Regions from separate parts of the Mus musculus genome. Here all the other regions are reported to be linked to region 5. The links are microRNA targets in miRTarBase. Many come from high-throughput screens and were not tested one by one. Region 5 holds a microRNA gene; each other region holds the end of a gene's coding sequence.
The links. Region 5 holds the annotated microRNA mmu-miR-466h-5p (UGUGUGCAUGUGCUUGUGUGUA, at 2,182-2,203, opposite strand). A microRNA usually pairs through its seed, bases 2 to 8, with sites in the 3' UTR of a target mRNA and lowers its output. Matches are read on the target gene's strand: a 7mer-m8 pairs with bases 2 to 8, a 7mer-A1 pairs with bases 2 to 7 and ends in A, and an 8mer does both.

Region 1: miRTarBase lists Kcnj16 as a target of mmu-miR-466h-5p. Seed matches in the 3' UTR shown: 8mer at 2,564-2,571 and 7mer-A1 at 2,613-2,619.
Region 2: the mRNA of Map3k7 is a reported target of mmu-miR-466h-5p. Seed matches in the 3' UTR shown: 7mer-A1 at 3,841-3,847.
Region 3: the mRNA of Nab1 is a reported target of mmu-miR-466h-5p. Seed matches in the 3' UTR shown: 7mer-A1 at 1,900-1,906.
Region 4: miRTarBase lists Ptpre as a target of mmu-miR-466h-5p. Seed matches in the 3' UTR shown: 8mer at 2,766-2,773, 8mer at 2,681-2,688 and 7mer-m8 at 1,124-1,130.
Region 6: the mRNA of Trim71 is a reported target of mmu-miR-466h-5p. Seed matches in the 3' UTR shown: 7mer-m8 at 2,580-2,586.

What each region holds. Positions count from the first base shown.
Region 1 is chr11:111,024,956-111,029,047 of GRCm38, forward strand. Kcnj16 (potassium inwardly-rectifying channel, subfamily J, member 16) reads left to right here. Exons shown (of 2, transcript NM_001252209.2): 2 at 1-3,013. The coding sequence ends at 818. Among named protein-coding and RNA genes, the nearest start is that of Kcnj16, 30 kb to the left of the region's middle.
Region 2 is chr4:32,018,900-32,022,991 of GRCm38, forward strand. It overlaps Map3k7 (mitogen-activated protein kinase kinase kinase 7), which reads left to right. Exons shown (of 16, transcript NM_172688.3): 16 at 602-4,092. The coding sequence ends at 782. Among named protein-coding and RNA genes, the nearest start is that of Map3k7, 57 kb to the left of the region's middle.
Region 3 is chr1:52,455,486-52,459,577 of GRCm38, reverse strand. Nab1 (Ngfi-A binding protein 1) reads left to right here. Exons shown (of 8, transcript NM_008667.3): 8 at 272-3,729. The coding sequence ends at 360. Among named protein-coding and RNA genes, the nearest start is that of Gm23460, 13 kb to the right of the region's middle.
Region 4 is chr7:135,682,991-135,687,082 of GRCm38, reverse strand. Ptpre (protein tyrosine phosphatase, receptor type, E) reads right to left here. Exons shown (of 21, transcript NM_011212.3): 21 at 789-3,851. The coding sequence ends at 3,777. Among named protein-coding and RNA genes, the nearest start is that of Mki67, 31 kb to the left of the region's middle.
Region 5 is chr2:10,513,012-10,517,103 of GRCm38, reverse strand. It overlaps Mir466h (microRNA 466h), which reads right to left and starts at 2,213; the gene lies at 2,133-2,213. The region is part of intron 10 of Sfmbt2 (Scm-like with four mbt domains 2); the gene reads right to left. It overlaps Mir669m-2 (microRNA 669m-2), which reads right to left and starts at 3,670; the gene lies at 3,573-3,670. Mir466n (microRNA 466n) reads right to left here and starts at 3,363; the gene lies at 3,270-3,363. It also overlaps Mir669o, Mir466g, Mir297a-3, Mir466l and Mir297a-4.
Region 6 is chr9:114,509,332-114,513,423 of GRCm38, forward strand. It overlaps Trim71 (tripartite motif-containing 71), which reads right to left. Exons shown (of 4, transcript NM_001042503.2): 4 at 1,937-4,092. The coding sequence ends at 3,314. Among named protein-coding and RNA genes, the nearest start is that of Ccr4, 15 kb to the left of the region's middle.

The DNA of each region.
Region 1 (4,092 bases), not on the chromosome of region 5:
TGACAGTGATCCTTCAGTCCATCCTCAGCTGCATCATAAACACCTTCATCATTGGAGCAGCCTTGGCAAAGATGGCAACTGCCCGGAAGAGAGCCCAGACCATACGCTTCAGCTATTTTGCCCTCATTGGTATGAGAGACGGGAAGCTTTGCCTCATGTGGCGCATAGGTGACTTCCGACCAAACCATGTGGTAGAGGGCACGGTGAGAGCCCAACTTCTGCGCTATTCAGAAGACAGTGAAGGGAGGATGACGATGGCGTTTAAAGACCTCAAACTCGTCAATGACCAGATAATCCTGGTAACTCCAGTGACTATTGTCCATGAAATTGACCATGAGAGCCCTCTGTATGCCCTTGACCGCAAGGCAGTGGCCAAAGATAATTTCGAGATTCTGGTGACATTTATTTATACTGGTGATTCCACTGGGACATCCCACCAGTCCAGAAGTTCCTACATCCCCAGAGAAATTCTCTGGGGCCACAGGTTTCATGATGTATTGGAAGTGAAGAGAAAGTACTACAAGGTGAACTGCTTGCAGTTTGAAGGAAGCGTGGAAGTCTACGCCCCCTTTTGCAGTGCCAAACAACTGGACTGGAAGGACCAACAACTCAACAACTTGGAGAAAACGTCCCCTGCCCGAGGATCCTGCAATTCTGACACCAACACCAGGAGGCGGTCCTTCAGCGCAGTTGCCGTGGTGAGCAGCTGTGAGAACCCAGAGGAGACCGTCCTGTCCCCACAAGATGAATGTAAGGAGATGCCCTATCAGAAAGCCCTCCTGACTTTAAATAGGATCTCCATGGAATCCCAGATGTAGCCCTCCTCTCCGACCCTTATCTAAGGGCCAGAAGCTGTAAGCATGATTTTTAACAAAGTGTTAGTTCTGTGATTTGGGACAGGAATAGAAAGCAGAGCAGGTTAAACTTGGTGAATTATTATCTAAAAAATCCACAATTTTACAATATTAAAATTTGGCTTTGGCAGTAGAGTTTGTATTAGGGAAGTGATTATGAAGCTTAATTGATTACAATTAATCTCATTATTGCATATACCTGTGTCTCCTCTTGAAGGTGAAATATTTAGGAGTGGGGGAAAAAGAGGCTGTTAAACCAGATAAATATAGAGAAGCAGATAAGCTAAATATTTGCATATAAAAATAAATTAATTATGGAATGAGAACTTATAACCGTATTGTATCACCTAAGCACAGCAGGTGAAATATGCCTCCGCTCAGAAACACTGAGATGAGAAAGTAAAACCAAGTGAAGTTTGAGTTTACCACATTTGCCTCTCATAGTATCTTGCAGACAGAGGTGTGGCTTTAGGAAAGTGAAAATGCTATCAAGTCAGAGATGCTTGCCTAAAGTGTTATTAGTGAATGCTGGAAGCCAGAACCAACCATGTGACAGAAGAAAAGGGACATCATTACGTAAATTAGTATTTCTCTCTTAAATACCTTGGTTCAACCGAGTCACTGGGGAGCAGAAGGGAGGCGGTGGCCTTTCTGTGTGCTCCCTGGAGAAGGTTCCTGTGCTCATAATCCCACTGTGCTCAAGCATTTGTGAAGAGGCAAGGTGGGATGCAGGAGTGGGCAGCAGCTGTGTGCATCCTCAGACCTTTGGAGAAGAGATGCTAGATGCTCTTGATTCCTGATCCTGAGAGGCTACAGTGTGGGTTGAGGAGAATTCAAAGAGATAGAACCTTTCCTGAAGGCAGAGGATCACAGTATGTATGGTGACCTGAGTTGCAGGTCTGAATACTTTTGTCAACAATGATGTTGATTTGATTGTAAATAAGAGGAATAAACTGAATATTATGGGGCTGCTTAAATTTTAGGACAAGAGATGCATGTTTATTCTCTGTCTTCACATTAAAGGATTAAGTTAATTGCTGATTCCTTTTTAGCACGAACCCAGCCACAGAGACCGTAAGCTTTATAAACTGAGGAATTATTAGCCATGGCTTGGCATCACTGGAGCAATTTTTTCCCACTGTTGCTGAGCTAGGAAGGAGGACATTATATGGCTGGTATTGAATTTAAGCACAAACACATTTTGATTCTTTTGGTGCCTTCTTTCTCTCTCTTCCTCTTATTCTCTCTCTCTCTCTCTCTCTCTCTCTCACACACACACACACACACACACACACACACACACACACACACACACACACTTAAATTTAATCCCATAGGCACACTGAACTGAATCACACAATTCAAGACTTCCAAGCTAAGTCAAATAAATAGATATTCTAAGGGGTCTCTTTTTCTTCTTTTTTTCTGTTATTTTTTTTCTCCCACTCCCTTTCTTTCTTTACCTCTCCCTTGTTACCCAGGATCAATACAGAATACAGTGTAACTTTTCTAATGCACATGTGTAGATAAATCTTTCGTTCCTGCTGTCATATAAATAAGAGATCTATCTGTTCATGGGGCATGTTAAAAACTGTCCTGGACTTCTTAATATCTGAAACCTAAATCATGTTTAACCTGCAATACTTGGGAATGGAGAATCCATTAGTTAAACCATAGAGCCATGTATTTATACACCCACACATCTGGCATGCACACACACACACACACACACACACACACACACACACACACACACACGCACACACACACGGTGGGGTGAGGTGGGTGAGACAGACACACAGAGAAAATTCGAATTTTTTAGCAGGAATTACTTGTCTAAATTAGAATATTACCCTTTCCAAGGCTGGAAAACATCGCTCTAACCATGCTTTCTCCACCAGTTTAAATTTGTTTTCCTTCAAGGCAGGTACAATCCAGTGCACCAGGCTTCCTTTGCTCTGTCCTCCTATGACAAGATCAGAATGGGGTGGCGGTGGTCAGGGATCACAGGTCTCTGATTAAACAGATTCTGGTGCACTGTGTGTTCATACACAGAGTGAAACGTGTGGTCCCATGCATCTCTCATCTTCTGTGCAGATTTATAACATGCTTTGACACGCCTGATGGCTTACTTAATAAAGATCTTAGACTGGTGCAAATGCTGTGTACATCCCTCTGCTCCCTGTAAATGTCGATTCTGCTTCCCCAAACTGAAAATGGTGCCTCCTATAATTCATGAGACACTGTTATGGGGCTCTTACCAGTGTGTGGAGCAGCCACACCTAAAGAGACAGTCACTTCTATGAACAGCACAGACTGGCTTTGTGCAAAATGTACTTAGTCTCCATGATGAAATGGTAAGGTGGGTATTTAACAAAGGTCCTCTTCATTGTTTTGTTTTGTTTTTTTCCCCTCACAAACAAATTCCTAATTGGGGCAGCAGTGTGCTCAGGTGAGACCATGCAACAGTGCCCCTCAGTTTCCCTTTCCTCTGGTGGGAGGGGAGCTCGGGTCACAGATGGTATTAAATAGCTGCATTCTGGGTCATGTTGTTATCAGTGCAAGTCTCTCGGTGTGACTTTCACTTTTATAGAGGCAGATTTAGCAGGCATGCATCTCTTCACTCTCCCTTGTCACCCCCTTTCCCTCATGAACTTCAAACTTGACGGCTGTTGGCTCTGCAGCCATGTCATAAGTGAAACACATCTCCTGGAGACAGAATGGAGGGACAGAGGGACCATAACCTCCACGTGCAAATGTCTGTGTAGTCTGAAAAAAATTCATCCGTGCATACGATATACGTGTGCTTCGGTCACATTCATTTATCGATTTCTTCCTCTGTTCCAGATCCCTCCGACATACCCTCTCCAGACTTCATGCTCTCTTGTCTTTTTTAACCCATTGGGCCCATTTACCACTGGAATAGGGACCACCCACCAGAGACATGAAAATAAAACAAACAAACAAACAAACAAACCCCAGACTCTCTCTACTCCAGTAGCTGTCGGCTATCAGTAGTCACTACTCGGCTGGATCTAGCTTTATGCAAGAGTAAAAATAAACACTGTCTAACCATCACAGGGCAAATCATGTCTCTAGGGAATGACTTTGAAAACAGACAGGCTAGAAAAGAAAAGAAAAAGATGAACAGCTTAAATCCAGTTTGCACTTGTATATGACATTTGCTGTATCTGGTCCCCGTGGAAATTACATATTTTCTTGGGAGTTGAGGAAATGC
Region 2 (4,092 bases), not on the chromosome of region 5:
CTAACCGGTCACCCGCCTCAGTACTTACTTTAAATGGTAACTATTGAGAAGTTCCTTTTGATAAGACGTTATTGTTTATTTACACCCAGTACTCTCACTTTAGGGCTAACATTTAATGTCCTCAAAGTAAAGGAACTTGAAGCTTACCTGCCTGTAAGAATGAGGGTCTCCCAAAAATCTTTACAAATACTGTTTCTGCTGTTCCATTAGAGCTGCAGTTAGGTAGCCCTGTGACTGCAGAGTAAGGATGGGAGGACCTTGGCGTATAGCTGTGAAGTAGGAACTGTGACACAGTGCTGTCTCTGGAACTGAGCCTCCTTTTCTTCCTACCAAGAAAGGAGGGCACCACATGAAATTTCCTGAAACTTAGTGCAGTGTTTCTCTGATTTACTGATTGCTTAAGTACTTAATGAAGGGCTGTCTTGTGGGTTTACAATAGATGAGTGGGAGGTTTCTATTCTGTCCTAGGACCATATTGGAGTAATATACTTAAGCTGCAGAATGATAGGGAGAAAGGTTCTAATTAGCTGAGTTTCCTTCATCAGCTACCGGTGTGCATCTTCCCATCGGGTGTAATGTCTGTTGTGTAATTTGTTTATAGGCAAGAACTAGTTGCAGAATTGGACCAGGATGAAAAGGACCAGCAAAATACATCTCGTCTGGTACAGGAACATAAAAAGCTTTTAGATGAAAACAAAAGCCTTTCTACTTATTACCAGCAATGCAAAAAACAACTAGAGGTCATCAGAAGCCAACAGCAGAAACGACAAGGCACTTCATGATTCTCTGGGACCGTTACGTTTTAAAATATGCAAAGACCTTTTTTTAAGAGAAGACAAACCATTATAACAGTTCATGAGTGTTAGCTTTTTGGCGTGTTCTGAATGCCAAATGCCTCTCTTTGCTGCATTTGTTATGTCAGTTACCTTTCTTCTTATGGTGGATATAAAATCCACTGTCGTGTTGCAGCAGATGATGGCACCTGTGGCTTGGGAAGGCGAGCGTGCTCAGCTTCAGAGCACATGAAGTGAACCTGGCTGTATGTGCATGCTCCTGGAGTGAGCTACCTAACAGGAGGGGGTAGCACACTGGCTACTGTGTGCAGGCATCATCCTTTCTCTGTAGTAAAAGGTGGGACCTCAAGAATTTTCTTCAAAGTGCTCATCTCAAAAATCTGATTTTTTTCCCAGTAGATGGTATGCTCCAATGTAAAGACAGGGTATTAAAATAACTTGTGGTACATTACAGAGGGACAGAATGTTGAGGCTGAGTTCAAAGACAGGGTTTGTGCCAACACATCCTGGATCAATACTAACTGTAGTCCCACCTGTTACTATTAAAGGTGAGTGGTGGCAGCTGTGCTTAAGGAGAGCAAGTTTACTGACTTTCGTGAGGTTGAGCATCGTCTGTGAAATATGAATGACATGCTCTTTTTACACCCTATGGATTTTCAATTCTGTGTGAAAACAGAAGCCTTTCTGACTTTTAATATTAGTAGCAGATGAAATTGAAAGATGATGATGTAGCTTAAATGATCCTTCTTGTAACCATTACTGAGTTGTTTTATGATATATTTGAAGAAAATTGAAAAATAATAGAGACACAAATCATTGGCCCAGCTAAAGGAGGCTTGAGCTGAGCTATCGGTCTGTTATACCAAATAAGGAACACAGCAGGCTAATCAGGAGGCCCGAGTAAGGAAGGCAAAGGAGGAAAATTAAACCCACTTTCGTAGCTACTCAGAGGACTTGATTCCTCTGAAGTCCTTTCCTGAGTCTGTTGCCTTCCCATGCTTTTAAGAGAATTTGAACACTTACAAAGAGAATATTTATATTGTTAACAATAAGTTTACTACCAACCTTCAAAATAACTTAAAGGTAATAATAAAATGCCATTAAAAAAATAAATCCCTAAGATCTATTTTTTCAGTCCATGTTAACACATTTTGATACCAGTGCATGAATGTCTTTTAAATTAGATGCCATCAGCTTCGCTTTTATAGTGTTCATGTTTGTAAAGAGAACATTTGGAATGGAAAGATGATCGCTGTGGTACTTAGATGTACATCTCGCATGTTCCTGCTCTGTTCCAGATGAGCACGAGAAGCTAGCGAAGGTGTTCTTTAAGGCTAAGACAGATAACCTTTTTCCTGTTATTTTTTTCCTCTCTGAGTTTTATAATGAATCCCTTCTGTATACAGTGAAGGTAAGGGAGAGTTTATAGCAAGATGTGCCTTCCTCAAAACCTGTTAGTAGAAAGCTCCTGGGAGCTAAATGTCTTCTTTCACTTAAATAAAAAAGATTATAGATAGCCTCAAACTCTATTAGGTGACATGAGTGCCGAGCTCAGCGTTAGTAGTGACATAAAACTGACACAGAAGATAGCTGTAGTCTGAGTCCAAGACCAACACCGCCTGCCACTGCTGCCTGTGCAGACATCTGGCACTCCACAGGAGAGCCATGGTCTCTGCTGTGCAGCATGCTGAAAGCATCTTGACTTCCCAGGAGATTCCACATTACATGGATGCAAGCTCATTTCTAGCCAGTTGTTTTGCAAGGTCTGCATCCTACAACTAAAAGGAAATTTTGTTGTCCTGGTCACTTGAAAGTATTCAAACAAGCAAATGGAAGAAAACACTGGATTTGCTCATGGTACCAGTGTTGAAAGATTGTTACTCGGTTGCTTGTGTATGCTCAGCTCCTTGGGGTTTCCGACACTGTGGTCCTGGACAGCCTTAAGTAGGTGCACTGGCACACTCACATGCATTTTTAAAGCTCCACTATCGCTGAACGTGAGCACACCATCCATACTTGAAATCCATACCAGTTTGCTCAATGTCTCAACCTGTAAAACCTTCAAATAACAACATACCAAGGAGCCAGATGGTCACTAATTCCTGTTCTACAATTTATTCAAGCCTCACTTCTTGGGTGAAGTAGAAAACAGGCAGACAGGTTTATACATTGATGTCCAAGAACCAGACAGTCCTGCACAGACACTAGTGGCATTTTGTTTCCATTTCCAGGAAAGGAAGCAAGGTTGTGCAATGTGGAGTGAAGTCCTCCTCAGCAGTAAAGCCATGCTCTAGGTTGAGTAAGTCAGTTAAGAGCACCATACTGCCATACTGAAAACATCTGCTTAGAGTTATTTACAAGTGGTTGGCTATTTTTTGTTGAAGTATTTTTTGAATAGCGAATGTCTTTTTCCTTCAAATTTCTGTCATTCTCCCAAGGCCCCCTCCTCCTGCAGCCAGAGATTACAGGTGGTTTTGTTTCTCCCTCCTTCCCTGTGTGTGTGTGTGTGTGTGTGTGTGTGTGTGTGTGTGTGTGTGTGTGTGTAGTCAACTCCTCTATTCACAAGCTAGTAAAGCTATCTACTTTTATTCCTGTCCAGGTATTTCTTGTAAGATGATATAATGCAGAAATTCTTGTGCATACTCTGTAACTGAAGGAGGCTTTTTTGATTTATTTTTGTCTTTAATAAAATTCAGATTGTTATTTCAGGCTGGTATGTAGGAATGGTAGCTGGCTTCTCTACACGACGACTGAGCTGTGGGTTTGCCCAGTGGTATTTACCTCATGCAGACCAATAGCTGAATCACCAGTTTCCTAGCATACTCAGTACAGTGTACCATAGTCATGCCAGAGACTGAATCATCGGACTGAGAGTCGGCTTAGCAGTTAAGAGCACTCATGTGGAGGACTAGGGTTCTGTTCCCAGCACCCGCATGGAGACTCCCAACTCTCTGCAACTCCAGTTCCGGGGTGGTCTGACTCCTTATGTTCCTGATGGTTCTTGTAAGCACATGGTGCATATATACTCAGACGAGCGTGCGCGCGCGCACACACACACACACACACACACACACACGTGAGAAAAAAAAAGTCCTCTTTATTTTTTCATGGGCCTTCATTTTTATGGAGTACAGCATAAAAGTGACTGACTTATCATTGCAAACTTCTTAATGTTTTTTCTAAGCTACAGTAACCATTTTGCTTTTATATCAAGTAACCCCCCCCCCCGCTTATAGATAACCACATATTTTTACTATCTATCCATTAGTTTCCTCGTTGCTTCAGTATTGATAAGCTA
Region 3 (4,092 bases), not on the chromosome of region 5:
GCTGTGTGACCCTGGCTGGCTGGGTACTCTGCCCATAGCCCAAGTTGACCTGGAACTTGAAGTAGACCTCCTGCCTCAACGTCCCTGAGTCCTGGAAATACATCACTACCATGTTGCGATAACCCATGCTTTTAACAACTAAATAAAATTCCATCTGGAATTTCATAATTATGAATAGTTAATGTTTGCTAGGAAGTTTGGGGTTTAATAACTTGATGTTGTAGTCCACTGATTTCAAATTCCAAACTCTTTCTGGTTTTGTTTTATGTAGAGAGCCTTGGGATTCTAAAAGACTATCCTCACTCTGCATTCACCTTGGAAAAGAAAGTTATTAAAACAGAGCCTGAAGACTCAAGATAGCTGAGATGCTCCTACTGTTCTCTGGAAATGGCACCAGATTCAAGGATAATGCTCCATCATAGATTAAGCCTTAATAACCAGTGTTGCCTCATTCAGCTCACAGACCATAGCCAAAGCATAAGAACCCACACAGTAGTCTGTGGACATCAGGACAAAACAACAACCACAGAAGAGGGAATCAAGAGAGCATTGCAATGTAACAGACACTGACCACTTACCTTCCTGTGTAAGCTGCTTGTGTGGAAAGGCTCAATATTGTAGGCATTCACTATTTAAGAATGTACAACATGTCTTTGTAATTTATAGAAACAAGTCTAGGTGTTGATACCTTGTGGTCTAATAGATGTGGATACCATTCATTTTACTTGAAATTTTGTTGTCTACTTTAAGTGTATTTGCCATAAATGTTACTCGTCAGCAATTAGAACTTTTGCAATCATAGAAAGAAAGTCTGGGCAATGTAGTTATTGGCAAGGTGACTGGAGAAAGATGGAAGATAAATACACAATTTACACCAAGGAGAAGACTGTGTGTTTAATACTTGATAACATTGATTTTGATTAATAGGAAATATGTAGCTGTCGCTAAATAATGTCACCTTCATTGGTTTAATCAATGCACAAATTAAAAATTGGAGTAACATTCCCAAAATGAGGTAGGCTATATTTATGGCAGCTGCTTAAGATGTAACAAAGGTTGGACAGAGGACATGAAATAAATGGGTTATTGTGTAAAAGCCTTGACTTAAAAACATTGATATTTCAGAATATGTTAAACAAATTAAGGCATAGTAAGATAGCCCTAAATGTGATAAAGATGATGGATGATGTGGGTGAATGGACATGGAATGTGTGTCTTGTTTTCAGTTCTGCTTTAGATCATGCTGTTATAGATATGAGTTCCTAATCTGTTATACTGAAATCTGTTGGCCAGATGTTAGGTGAGATGTGTGCACCACCACAGGCTCTAAGCAGTCACATAGATAGTCACTTTTCAATTTGATCTGTAGAAGAGTTCTACAGTAGAAACACCAGTAAACAGCTTTACTACAACTACAAGGCTTTTCCCTTCCTAGATGATTCTATTGGACCATAGCACCTTGCCCACTAAAAACTATCTTAGGGACCATGTGCCTCTGTTTCTACCGTGAGGTTGATTATTGTGGTCTCACTGTCCACTGTGTGTAGAGCTAGTGTGATACCATTTAAATAGAATGTTCAGTTTTTAATATTAGCCACAGCACTGGATATTATCCCTATACTTTCATGAACCGTTTCCTGTGTTCCTTAATCTATTTTGAGAAATTTTGTGGTCCTTTTTCTTTTAAAAAAAAAAAAAAACAAAAACGAAAAACAAAAAAACTATGTCTTACAGTTCAAGTTCGTAGATTTTAACATTGCAAGTTATAAAAGATGCAGTAGTCTTCCAGCTGATATATATCTGTCTCTCCTGGACCTAGAACCTGCATTTTTAAATCCAGAAGAAAGTCTCCTTAAGTAGCATACTTTTCTGACTTCCAAGCTTAGAGATAGAGAAGAAGCACACACACACACACACACACACACACACACACACACACACACACACACAAATTTTCAGTAGAATACAATTTTTATCTTGTGAACACTAATGTATTAAACTTGCTATACATTAAAGCAAATAATATATATTTTTATTTGAATGGTATATATAAATTAGATGTTATAACTAGTGGGGTGTTCTTCATTTCATTTAAGATACTTCCACTGAACAAGGTCAATTGGTTACCTCAGTATTACAGCCAATATAACCCAAGGGACCATTTCTCCCTAAGTCTGTGTTATTCTTTATTGTGTGAATTCTGCATTTTTGTGATTCCTAAAACTGTTGAAGAGATGAGTGAACTTGCTTCCCGTGGCAATAAAGGATTTCTCTGCCTCACAAATCCTTGCTTAGAGTGCTTTGCATAGCACATGATGTTCGTCTATACTGCCTCCCTTACCGCATGTCGGGACAGGATGCGCTTCTCTTTTTTCCTGTGACACTGAGAGTTGAACCCAGAGGCTCTACCACTGATAGGCCCAGCACTCATGTTACTTTTTTATTCTGAGACAGGCTTCCTAACTTGCCGCAGCTGGCCTTGAACTCACTCTGTAGACCACACAGGTGGTGGTCACCTGGGGAGACCTTTCCTAGCCTGGGCTTCATACATTTCACTTTTGAAAGGGCAGAGTACTTCTGACTCAGCACCATGTTGTTTGTGACATTGATGCTGCTCTGAATCTTCAAAAGAAAACCAACCAGGTTGTCAACCCAATGAGAGCAGGAGCCCTGGTAGATTCAAGAGATTACAACAGCAAATATTTGATGAAAGCCCTCTTCTGACCCAGCGCTGTGCAAGGGTTGGTTCTGGGGATCCAAGAACGTGTATTTGCTGTTATCTCTGGGCGTTCTCATGAATGACATTCTCCAGTGGCCTTCAAGTTAACAAAGGATGACTCAGTGTCCACTGTTATTGAAAACACACATTGATGACAACTGTTTCCATAGCAACCGTGCAAGACAAACATTCCCGACACCTAAGAGATCAGAAGCCGACACTGTGATAATGCTTTCAATTCTGAATGTGTGGTGGCTAAATCGTCCAGGTCACCCCTGGATTCTGCTTTGGCTGACTTACGGAAATGAAGAAAACAATCACTTGTTCTTGTGCAGAAAATATGAAATCATAATTTAAGTTCATAATTCTTTTAAATTAGTCTTATGTTCTACTTACACATATTTTTCTGTCTATTTTTTTTACCATAGCTTTAGAAAGAATGATAAATAATAGCTGGTTTTGTTATAAATTCATTAGAACTCCTTCCTTCTTTCATATTTTCATAGCTGCTAGGCCACACGATTCTTGAGCACTACAGTATTCTTTTGAATTCTGGTCTCTTGGCAGTGCCTGATTCTTTGGTCATAATTTCTAAGACTGTTCTTTTGACTGCTCCATTTATGTCCAGATCTCACTTGTAAGACATAAAAGGGCTCATTTCTGCCAGTTCACCCTCAACCAAAGGAAAAGTTTAATATTGTTGTAGTGATTTAATATGATGTCTAGAACAGAAGCATTTAAAAATAACTCACCAAGCACTAAACTCGATTTTTTAGCATTCACATGACATGCTACTTACCATTAGCTTTCTCTTTTTATTTTTAAAATATTTCATTGATTTTCTATTTTTAAAGTAGTTAATTGGGCCAGTGTGATGATGCCCACTTTTAATTAGTCCTTGAAGGTTGAGGTGGGGCAACTGTAGTTTGAGTTTGGCCTACACAGGAAGACTCAGTTGCAAAAGGAAAAGACATTAATTGGTAAATAAAAATGGTACATATTCAAGTGTATAACATGGGTTATCTACCTGTTTTGAAAATGTGTTCATTGTGTGTGCATGACATGTTTAACACATGCTGTGGCATACATGTGGGGCAGAGGGTAGCTTGGTGGAGCTGGCTCAGAATTGAAACAAGATACTAGGTTTGTGAGCACTGATTATTTAATTTCTGTACACCGTGCATCCTGATTGCCACAGGCAAATTAAGACACCTCAGTGGGAAAGTGGATTCTGGCTGTGCTTGACTGCCACTTACCATTCTTCAGTTTGCTTACCTTTGCTAAACTCTCAGTAGAGTGTTTTAAATTCTACACAGCATCACAAGACAAAGATGTGCACTGTTAGAAACTGGGAAAAACATAAATTCTACTTT
Region 4 (4,092 bases), not on the chromosome of region 5:
GGCCAGGACTCAGACAAAGATTCCACCTCAGTCATTCCGGGCTCTTCATCACAGCTAATTTCTCAGCTTTCCAGGCTTGGTCCTCCCTGGACCCTGACAGAACATGAACTCTTTGAACTGGTAGTCAAAGTCTGTGCCTCTTGTATGATACCTGCCTACCATAGACCATTAAGACCTAATGCCTCTTTGGCTCCAGCGCTCACCTCCCCTTAGAAGCTGTTTCTGGGCCAAGTCAGACCTACATTTTATTTTATTTATTTATTTATTGTTTTTTGTTTTTGTTTTTCCCCGAGACAGGTTTTCTCTGTTTAGCCCTGGCTGTCTTGAACCTCACTTTGTAGACCAGGCTGGCCTTGAACTCAGAAATCCGCCTGCCTCTGCCTCCCAAGTGCTGGGATTAAAGGCGTGCGCCACCACCGCCCGGCTCAGACCTACATTTTAAAGACCTCCAGTGGGACTGGAATAGTTTGTTTGGTAAAGTGTTTGGCTTGTGAGCATGAGGACCAAGTTCAGTCTCCCAAATCCTCATAAAGAAAATGGGAATAGTGTCACACTTCTGTAATCCTAGCACTGGGGAGTTCAGATAAGAAAATCTCTGGTGCTCACTGGCTGGCCAGCCTTGCCCAGTTGGTCAGCTGCGGACCAGTGAAAATCCCTTTCTTAAAGAGGGTGGGCAGTATTCCTAAAGCTGACACTCACCATTGTCCTATGGCCTCCACATGTTTCTGTGCACACACACACACACACACACACACACACACACTTAAATGGGAAGACAGAAGCACAGGTACAGGCTGGTAGTCAGAGATTTATTCTCGAATCCGGATGTTTTCAATCTTGCAGTTCACATGTCTCAAGAATTCAGCGACATACACTGGCATAATCAGAGCAAGATCAAACGATAAATGTGATCAAGGAATAATATATGAGAGTTGGAACCATAACACATACACATATTATAAAGATTGCACATAAATTAAACATGACTTGGTTACAAACAAAAATATATCAGTAAATATACATGAAAAACAAAAACCAACAACGTGGCCAAATGCTGAAACACAGGTATCAGGCTCATTTAAAAAGGTTTTAAAAACACATAAAACTACCTTGGAAAACACAGGTGTGCATTCCTCGTTCATCCAGCCCATGGAGAGAGAGTAAAGCAAGTCACACAGTGACCAAGAGACGCACCTGATCAGAACGCTCAGCTCTGATGACTGTTTGGCGTTGAGCACAACCGCATGCAACAGAGAACTAAGAAGGTTGTCGGTGTCATAAACACCGGAGCTTCTTTGAAGGAAGAAGAAAAGGACATGCCAGGTACACAGAGAAGATGCTGAGACCGCCCTCCTCCCCCTAGGAGACCCCTTGTACACAGAGGCTCTGTGTCTTACGGAGGCTGAATTTTGCTATGGCATTAGTCAAGAGACTAGAGGGATTGGCCCCTCCAAAGTACAAGTGCTGCCCCAACTGTGCCCACAGGAGCGTGGCTTCTGTTTTTCTCTGGAATGAGACAAGCTGTTTAGAAACAGGCAGGGTCTCTGCCTGCAGGAGAACCTGGGGCAGCCCCAAGGTGAGGAAAAACACTCATTAGAATACTTTTCTAGACATCCTGAAAAGATCTACCCTAAGGCATTTCTTGATACAAGAGATGCCTGGGATTCTAAGGACCAGTAACTAAGTTGGGGTGCCAAGGTGCGTGGCCGAACTTTGGCTTGGGACCCATGTGAGGTCACCTTAATTCTAGTGGGCTTACTGCCCTCTGTCCCGCTTCAGTTACAGCAAGGCGTTGAGCTTGGGTCTAAGATGGAGACAAATGAGACCACTGGCCAGGGAAAGCTCCTCCATCTTCCATCTTCTGCCTGTGCTCCAAGGCTGCTCAGAGAAGGGGAGCTCCCACAAAGCACAGGCAGCCAGCCCTGCCTGCAGCTGGTGGTGGTGGTGACAGTGGCCACTGTCTGCTTTCATCCTGCATGCTGAGTGCCAGCTTGTGCCTCTGGATGGGACACTCAGAGCTGCGGGGCTTGAGATAAGCGTGGTGACCCGTTCACCTGTATGAAGCAGTGACAGACCCTGGGGTTGTCCCTTGTACACGAACAAGAACAAACTGTGCAATAGGCGAGCATGATCAGTCCTCCATGGAGATAAGGCCTTTGTATTTTCATTTCTCTTTTAAAAAGTTTAAAAAAAAAGTTCCCAAACTGTGTTCAAAGCCTTCAATGAGTTAGACCAGATGTCTTTTTTTTTTTTTTTTTACATTGTGCTCATTTGCTAGGTATCTAAATGCCATAGGAAGATAATTTTTATTGAAGTCAATGTTTCTACATTCCTCCTCCTCCTCTCCCTCCTCCTAACCTACCCTCTCAGGCAGTGCGCCTGTCACTGCCACCTGAACTCAGAGGTCTCAGCAGCCTTTCCTCCAAAGGTAAGTTAGATTAGGATCTTCCCCCCCTCTCATTTTTAAAAATTAAACACCAAGAGGTGGGACATTTAAGAAAAAAACTGTACAAATCTAGATTTTTAAGAATTCCTTTCTTACAAACCATCTTAACTTTTTACAAAGAAAATCTGACATCCTGAAATGGCTATCAGCAAATTGACAGTGCAACAGTTTGTGGCCATTCTACCGTGTGTGTGTGTGTGTGTGTGTGTGTGTGTGTGTGTGTGTGTGTGTGTGTGTGTGCAGCTGTGGTTGAGTATCAGCAAATTGACAGTGCAACAGTTTGTGGCCATTCTACCGTGTGTGTGTGTGTGTGTGTGTGTGTGTGCAGCTGTGGTTGAGCCTGTAGGCCCAATTAGGGTCAGTACAGGCAGCTGTGTCAGTGGGCGGGCCGTTGGGAATGAGCTTGAGTGGATTCTGAGCCAGGCACACAGGCAGGCAGCAAGTGGTTCCAGGAACACAGCTCAGATGGCTAGTTTGGAGGGTACTGGAGGCCTGTGAGAATAGATGGCCTGGTATAACACATCTCTTTATCAAGCCTACAGTGGCACTACACAGCCTCTCATGAATGCCTTTTAAAACTCATAGGAAAGTCACCACCATCTACACCTTGTACATCTGAGACCTGGATTTGGGTTTCAAAACCCTCTGGGTGTTTGTTGTTTGTTGTGTTACAGAGTCTCACTGTAGCCCAAGCTGGCCTGGCCTGACCTGGACCAAATCCTTATGCCCCAGCCTCCCACGTGCTAGCAGTGCAGTGATGCACTGCCGTGTCTGCTTCCACTCTGATCTTTCAAATGCAAGGATGGACCACATGGCTGAGACCCAGGACTCTACCAAAGCCCCCATGCACACTGTTTGCCACATTCCGATGCCCTGGGTGCGACAGTTGGTGGGGAGAGTAAATGTGCTCTGACTCGGAGTCCTCTACTGGTTTCTCCACAGGGGGTTTCAGGGGTTAGTGTCTTCTCACAAACACATTTGACATGTTAAGAACTACATTTACAGATGCATGATGTGTGACACCATGTGACACCTGATGTGGGACACCACATAACATGAATCTAATAGAACTAAGATACTGACTGGTGTTAGCAGAAATATATATCTTTCCAGATAGTATTTGACCTTAACATGTTATTCCAATTTTTAAAAAGGGCATTTACAATTTAATAACCTTACAGCAGGTAGCCTTTAGAACATAACAAAATATATACAAAGGAATTAGGAAGGATATTAATATCCACTAGGAAATAAATTAACATGATCTCTTTTTTTTTTTTTACAAAATATACTGACCATTAAATTAAAAAATATTTTAAGGCAGGAATCTTCATTTGAAATTAGCATAATCAGAAAATATATCGATAAAATCTTGTACCACTTTGTAGCAGAATTCATATTGCTCCTGAAAAGAGAATGAGAGTATATTAGTAATATATTAATACTAAGCAGCTTCACACATACCTGATGCATGTAATCAGAAGATGAGCTAGAAGCCCAGTTGTCAGTCAGTCTGCTGATGCATCAAAGTCCGGGGCTCCCTCCCACACATCAGTTTCTGTTACACAGCGGGCCTTTTAGGCATGAGCCATGTTCTAAACCAAGCTGTTTGTCCATGCAGAAAACATCAATTTTTAGGTTCACAC
Region 5 (4,092 bases):
TACACACATGCACATGCACACATACATATACACACAGGCACATACACTGGGGGGGGGGGGCGCCATCACATGAATCTGAAGCTGATCCCTACCTAATCATGAATTTGAGAATGAATTTCCACTCCTGATCCTCCTGACTCTGGCAAGCATTTTCACCTTGTGAGTGAGAGCACCCACTGATCCAGCCCTGCATAATCTCTCAAACTCTAAGTCACATACCTTTAAGGCCTGACTCTGGCAAGCACTTTGACCTGTTGAGTAAGAGCATGCACGGGCACAGTACTGCATAATCTTTAAAACTCTTAGTCACATATTATGCAAGTAGATGAATGCAAGTCACCATGTGTTTGTGTGTGTGTTGCATGTGTGTGTGTGTCTGCACATGCATATCCATATACATTCATGAACATGCACACACATGTAAGCACACGTGCACATACATGGGTGGCATCAAATGAATACCAGGATGATCTCTAAATGGAGTTTGAACTCCTGATCCTCCTGACTTTGTCAATCATTTACACCTGGTGATTGAGACCATTCACTGTCCCTCTACTGCATAATCTCTAAAACTCTAAGTCATATATCATTCAAATGGATCGATGAGTACCATTCCTATGTTTGTGTGTTTCTGTGCTTGCATTTATACATGTGTGGATGTTATATATATTCATATACACACATGCACACACAACTATACACACGTTCACATGCATGGGGGGAATCACATAAATCACAGGCTGATCTCTAAGTCCTCATGAGTGTAAGCATGCATTTAAGCTCCTGATAGACCTGACTCTGGCAGTTGTCTACACCTGATGAGTGAGAACACTCACTGTCCCCGTACTGCATAATCTCTCACCTCTAAGTCACATGTTATTCAAATGGATCTAAGAGTGCCATTAATGTGTGCGTGTGCATGCATGAATATGTGTGCATGTATTTATATGTATATCAATATATATATACATGTACATGTACACACAAACACACATGCACATACATAGGGGTCATCACATGAATGCCAGGTTGATCTCTACCTCATCATGCAGTGAACATGAATTTGCACTCCTGATCATCCTGGCTCTGGCAAGGGGCGTCACCTGGTGAGTGAGACCTCTCTGTGGCCCAGTCATACAGAATCTCTAAGACTCACATATCATTGAAATGGATCGATGAGTGTCAATTTTCTGTGTGTTTGTGTGCATGTTTGTATGGGTATGTGTGTATGTATATGTATATTCATATACACACATGCACATGCACACATACATATACACACAGGCACATACACTGGGGGCATCACTAGAATCCGAAGCTGATCCTGGACTCATGAATTTGAGAATGAATTTCCACTCCTGATCCTCCTGACTCTGGCAAGCATTTTCACCTTGTGAGTGAGAGCACCCACTGATCCAGCCCTGCATAATCTCTAAAACTTTAAGTCACATGTCATTTAAAAGTATCAATGAGTGCCATTCGGGGTATGTGTGTGTGTGTGTGTGTGTGTGTGTGTATGTGTGTGTGTGTGTGTGTGTGTGTGTGTGTGTGCCTGTGTGTATGTGTTTGTGTGTATTTATATGTATATTCATATGCACACATACATTAGCACACAAAACTATGCAACATGAACATACACTGGGAAGGAACCCATAAAGCCAGGCTGATCTCTAAGCCATTTTGAAGTTATTCATAAATTTGAACTCCTAATCCTTCTGAATATGGGAAGCTTTTTCACATTGTGAGTAAAAAGTTTCATTAGCCCAATACTACATAATCTTTAAAGCTCTATGTCACACATCATTCAAATGTATCAATGAATGCCATTCCATGTTTGTGTGCTTGCATTTACATGTATGTTTATGGTATGTATATTTATATACACACATGTGCATACACAGGGACGTAAACACACATGCACATACACGGGTGGCATCACATGAATACCAGGATGATGTCCAGCTGAAGTTAAGCATGAATTTGAACTCCCGACCCTGCTCAATCTGTAATATGTTTGCACATGGCGAGTGAGACCGTTCACTGTCCCACTACTGCATAATCTCTAAAAGAATAAGTCACATAGCATTCAAATTAATGGATGAATTCAATTCCTCTGTGTGTGAGAGTGTATGTGCTTGCATTTGTGTGTGTGTGTGCGTGCGTATGATATATATATTCACATACACACAAGCACATGCACACACAAATATACACACATGGACATACATGGCTGAGAATCACATGAATCACAGGCTGATCTTAAAATCATCATGAAGTTAAGCATGAATTTGAACTCCTAAAACTCCTGATTCCAGCATACATTTTGACCTGGAGAGTGAGATCACGCACTGTCCCAGAACTGCATAATCTCTAAAACTCTAAGTGACATATCATTCAAATGGATCGATGAGTGTCATTTGTGTGTGTGTGTGTGTGCCGCATGTGTGTGCATGTGTCTGTATATGCAAAATCATATACATACATCCACATGCACACACACGAAAACACACATCGACATAAATGGGTGGCATCACATGAATGATCTATAACTGAAGTTAAGCATGAATTTGAAATCCTGATTAACCTGACTCTGTCAATCATTTACACCTGGTGAGTGAAACCATTCACTGTCCCCTATTGCATAATCTCTAAAACTCTTAAGTCAGTTATCATTCAAATGGATTGATGAGTGTCATTCTTGTGTCTGTGTGTGTGTGCTTGTGTTTATACGTGTGTGTGTATGTTATGTATATTCAAATACACACATAAACATGCACACACAACTATACACACATGCACATGCATGGAGGAATCACAGGCTGATCTCTCATGAGGATAAGTATGAATTTGAACTCGGGATACTCTTAACTCTAGCAAGGATTTTCACCTAGAGAATGAGAGCACTCACTGGCCAAGTACTGCATAATCTCTAATATGCTAAGTGACATATCATTCAAATGGATCAATGAGTGGCATTCGTGTGTGTGTGTGTGCTGCATGTGTCTGTACATGTATACTCATATATATACATTCACATGCACACACCTGTAAACACACATGCACATACACGGGTGGCATCACATGAATACCAGGATGATGTCCAGCTGAAGTTAAGCATGAATTTGAACTCCTGATCTTCTTGAATCTGCAAATTGTTTACACATGATGAGTGCGACCATTCATTACCCACTACTACATAATCTATAAGACTGTAAATCACATATCCTCTGTGTGTGTGTGTGTGTGTGTGCACGCACGCGCATGCAAGCGCACATGCACGTGTGTCTATGTATGCTCTCATGTATATGCATATTCATATACACACATGTACATGTACGCACACACAAACACACATGCACATACACAGGAGCCATCACATGAATGCCAGGCTGATCTCCAACTCATCATGCAACCAACATGAATTTACACTCTTGATCATCCTGAATCTGGCAAGGGTCTTTACCTTGTGAGTGAGAGCATTCATTGGCCCAGCACGGCATACTCTCTAAAACTCACATGTCACATGTCACATGTCACTCAAAATGATCTATGGGTGCCATTTCTGTGTGTGTGTATATCTGTGCATGCTTGTATATGTTTGTGTGGATGTATATGTATATTCATATACACACATGCACATGCACACAAAACTATACACACATGCAAATATATTGTGGGGAACCCCATAAAATCAGGCTGATCTCTACTCTCTTTTGAATTTATTTATGAATATGAATTCCTGACCCCTCTGAATATGGCAAGCTTTTACATAGTGAGAAAAACTTTCATTTGACCAGTACTACATAACCTTTAAAGCTCAAAATCACATATCATTCAAACATATCAATGAATTCCATTCCTTGTGTGTATGTGTGCATACGTGTGTCCATATACATGTATGTTTATGTTATATATATATATATATATATATATATATATATATATATATGTATATATATATATATATATATATATTCATTTACACAGATGTACACGCACACACATGTAAACACACATGCACATACATGGGTGGCATCACAGGAATACCAGGATAATCTCTAACTGAAGTTAATCATGAATTTGAAATCCTGA
Region 6 (4,092 bases), not on the chromosome of region 5:
GCCTAGAACTTTGGCATTCCTTTTAATACCTACCAGAACACAGCAACCTTAGAATCTTCCAAACCCAAGAAGACACACAGACAAGACAGTAATTGTGCTGCTTCAAGCTTAAAAGACTTCCCAACTCAAATGATTAAGCTTTGGCTTAACTACACCGAGACACTCTGGACCATCCAAAGTGTCTTCATCCCGGCAGCCTCTATGGCCCAACACTGTCCAGTTCTGTTTAGGGTACCCTTGTGTGCTTCCCCAGGTAAGTTAGACTTAACAAGGGTATTGATTGGAGGAAGTTTAGTGCACTAGGGGAACAGCCTAGACTACTAGGCTCAAACCAAGATAAGGAGTTACCTGCCAGCCATAACGGAGTACAGGTTTGGAGACTTCTCATGAACAAAAGTGATAGATTGGTGATGACCTTCAGATGATTATAGTTTTGGAATGTTAGGCAGGTGGCAACCAGGTGGTTAATACTCAAACTTAAGAAACTTCACTTCCAATGGGAATCTCCTGGTACCCACCCTCACCAGCTCCTGCCAGCTCCTGCCAGTTCCTGCCAGCCCCTGCCACCTGACCAGGGACCGCTACCCGTCAGTCGCTCACCGCAGTGACAGAAGGTTTCCGGCCAGCCAGCACCCACGGTGTCTCCTTCCTGAATCTCTTTCCTGTCGTACCTCAGAACTGGCTGCAGGTGCTCACCAAACATGGCTGGTGTCATGATATGGATCAGTCCATATCAAGGTACACTCTCCAAAGTGCTTAGCACCAATTCCCCCACCGGCTAGGAGTCCAATCTCAGGCGGCCACAATAAGCCACTTGTTTTAAAAACAAAAGTTCTCCAACTATGATCACAATTCCTTAGAAGCCAGCCCTTACACTGATCTGGATATAGAAAGCCACAGACCTCTAAGAACACATCTGCTGTGCTCTAAGCCCACACTGGTCTATCCATGTACTGATCAAGACCCAACCACAAGATGGGAACCTGGGCCGAGTTATCAGATCCTAAGTAAAATGTCAAGTATTTTGTTAGTCACCAGAAAAAAAGTTCTCACTGAACAGTCAGTCAGTCAATATTCCTGCCACAGGAGAGCTGTGAGGAGGAACACTGAACATGACTTCAATTTAGCATTGAAAATCGGCTTTCCCCAGCCACAATTAAAATCAGGTTTCTGAGAAGGTTGTCAAGATTCATTTGTTCAATTAGTGTCATTAAGAATGTAAAGCTAGTTCTATTGAGTGTTTAAAGGCAGTTTAAGATTGGGGGGGGGGGGGAGCGGGGGGGGGGCGGGGTGAGGCCTCCTGGGTTGTCCTGTTCTACAAAATTTTTAAAAATCAGTTTAACGCTTAAGTGACATAATAAAGGCTAAAGGGATATATAAACTGGGGAAGGACCCACTATTAAATTTTAAAAGGAGCTTGTAACCCTCTTTCACATCCCGAGAAACATGGAGATCAGCAGTTGAAGCTACCTTCGGGATTCCTTGATTGTGTACTATTCTCCCTGCTGAGACGGCCCCCCGCCCCCCAGCACCCGCCGCCACACTCAGATCACCCCGAAATCCTGAAATTCAAGTCATGTGAATGTGAAGGAACGTCGTAGCTCACACAGGCAAACTGAGCATCCCAAAGCAATTCGACTGAGCCCTTATCCTGTCCCCACCGCCTCTTCCTCTGTGGAGTTCCTGCCGTGCAATGGGGGTCAGAAACTGGGTTTTAGATCTATGTTGGGCAGTCTTCTGTCCTCTTTCAAATCTGGTCTGAGCTCAGTAGTGAGAATACAGAGAACCAGAGAACCGGGATGGGCCCTCATTCTCAGAGGTGAATGTCAAGAAGGCCCACTCTGTGGCTTACAATACATCAGACTTCAATGGGATGGGAGCCACAGGCCCCCAAGTTTCTATTCTTTGGTACAGGTTTTTTTCTTTTTTTTTTTTCTTTTTTTAAATAAAATAAAATTAAAAAAAAAAAAAGACATATACTGTGTCCTACACTTCCTGTTGGGTGGTTTGGTTTGTAAATCCTTTACATTCAAAGGCCTTTGGGGGAGGAACGGGGCTTTGTGTTAACCTTGAGGTCTGCCTCCACTCAGACTTAGGGAAGGTTCCTGAGAAACAGACCTGAGCCAAGGGTTAGGGAGTGAGGTGCTCCCACCAGTCAGACAATCTTCTACATTCCCTGAACTTCCAAAGCAGGAAAAAACATTGTGCTTCTCAAATCAAAGCTATCCCTTTGCCTACCACACCCTCACACATAGAGACGAGGTCCCCCGCCCTCCTGAACAGTCCCTGATGTGGGGGTGCCTCACTTCTCCAGCACCCCCCACTTCTGTGGCACCCTGGTCCACATCTGAAAAGCCCCTCTCTCTCTGAGAACAAGGTTAACTTATTTTCTTATACCTAAGTCTTTATAACAAACAACAAAAACACAGACACGTAACCTTTGCGAACACTTTCAACCTAGAGTCCTGAGCTAAATCGAGTTTCTTAGCAAACTGGGAAGAAATTTGCTTGGGATGTCTTGTGTCAAGTCCAGCTTTTCTCCTCAAGCAAAGATGGCTTTGAAACACAAACATGCACGCGTGTGCACACACACACTCCCACACACCCACCCTTCTTTACCAGATACAAAGATGAGACACCCGAAAATATGAATGGTCTGCTTTTCTAGGCTAGCAAGCCACAGCCATATCTCCTAGGGATGAGATGTCAGACACACTGAGGTAAACAGAGAAAAGCCCTGTTGCATCGATAAAAAAGAAAAGAGCAAACCACACACAACCTAACCCCACATAAACACAGTATTCTCAAGAACACAAATACACTACAATTATGAATTTTAAATCCTATCTTTCCAACATCTTATACTTCTCTTTTTTACTTAGTAGTTTTTGGGTTTCCTTGGCTCAATCTACAAAATGCATGCACCCCACCATATGCTTCCAGTGCCCTCAAGGTTGCAGGACCGCTGTCCTGTGCCTCCTAGGCCTTCAGGAGGGAAGAGGATGTGAGCCAAGAGGCTTGCCAGAGAGGGAAATGCAAAGAGTTGAGGTAGATAGAAATTATCACTTCACAGGCTCAAGCCCTGCACAGAGGAGAATTACATTCATCTGTAAAAAAAAAAAAAAAAAAAAAATTTAAGCTGAGGTAGGACTTAGGCAATGTTGTACTTTTGTTCTTAAAAAAAAAAAAATAATAAAAATAAAGGGGGGGAAAAAGAAAAAGAAATATCCCTGAGACGATTTCTTCTTTGAAATTCAAAAATGAGAGACACACACATGCACACCCTAAACACAGAAAACCCCAGAAGACACAATTAGAAGATGAGGATTCGATTGTTGCCAAAGTCCACCACGACGATCAATCCATCCGGGGTGACCGCGATACCTGAGGGGCGGTCCATCTGCCCGAAGCCACTCCCTTGAGCACCAAACTTGCACAGGAAGCTGCCATTGGCCTCAAACATCTGCACGCGGTGATTTCTGGAATCGGCTACGATGATTCTCCCTTCCTGGTCCACAGCCACACCCTGTGGTCGCAGGAACTGCCCATTGCCCGAGCCCTCCGAACCCAAGAAGCGGGCAGATTGGCAATCAGGGTGAATAACCAGAAGCCGGTGGTTGTTGAAGTCGGTGACTACCAGGTGACCTTCATTGTTGAAAGCCACGCCCCGTGGAGAGTCGAAGTGCTTCCAGAGAGATCCCTCGAAGCCGTACTTGTTCAGGAAGACCCCGTCCGGTCCGAACAACTGGATGCGATGATTCCGGGTGTCTGAAACGAGGATCTTGCCCTCAGAATTCACTGCTACATCCCACGGGTAGTTAAACTGCCCGTTCTTGGTGCCTTTCTCACCAAACTTAAGAAGGAACTGGCCCTCGAAGGTGAAGATCTGAATGCGATGATTGTCTTTGTCGGCCACTATGATCCTGCGGGAGGCGTCACAAGCCACCCCAGCCGGTCGGTCAAACTGCCCAGGACGAGACCCAAGGGTACCAAACTTGTGGTGGAAGGAACCACAGGGCTTAAACACCTGGATTCTGTTATTGCTTCGGTCAGCCACTATGATGAAACCCTCCTTATCAACACTCACGCCCC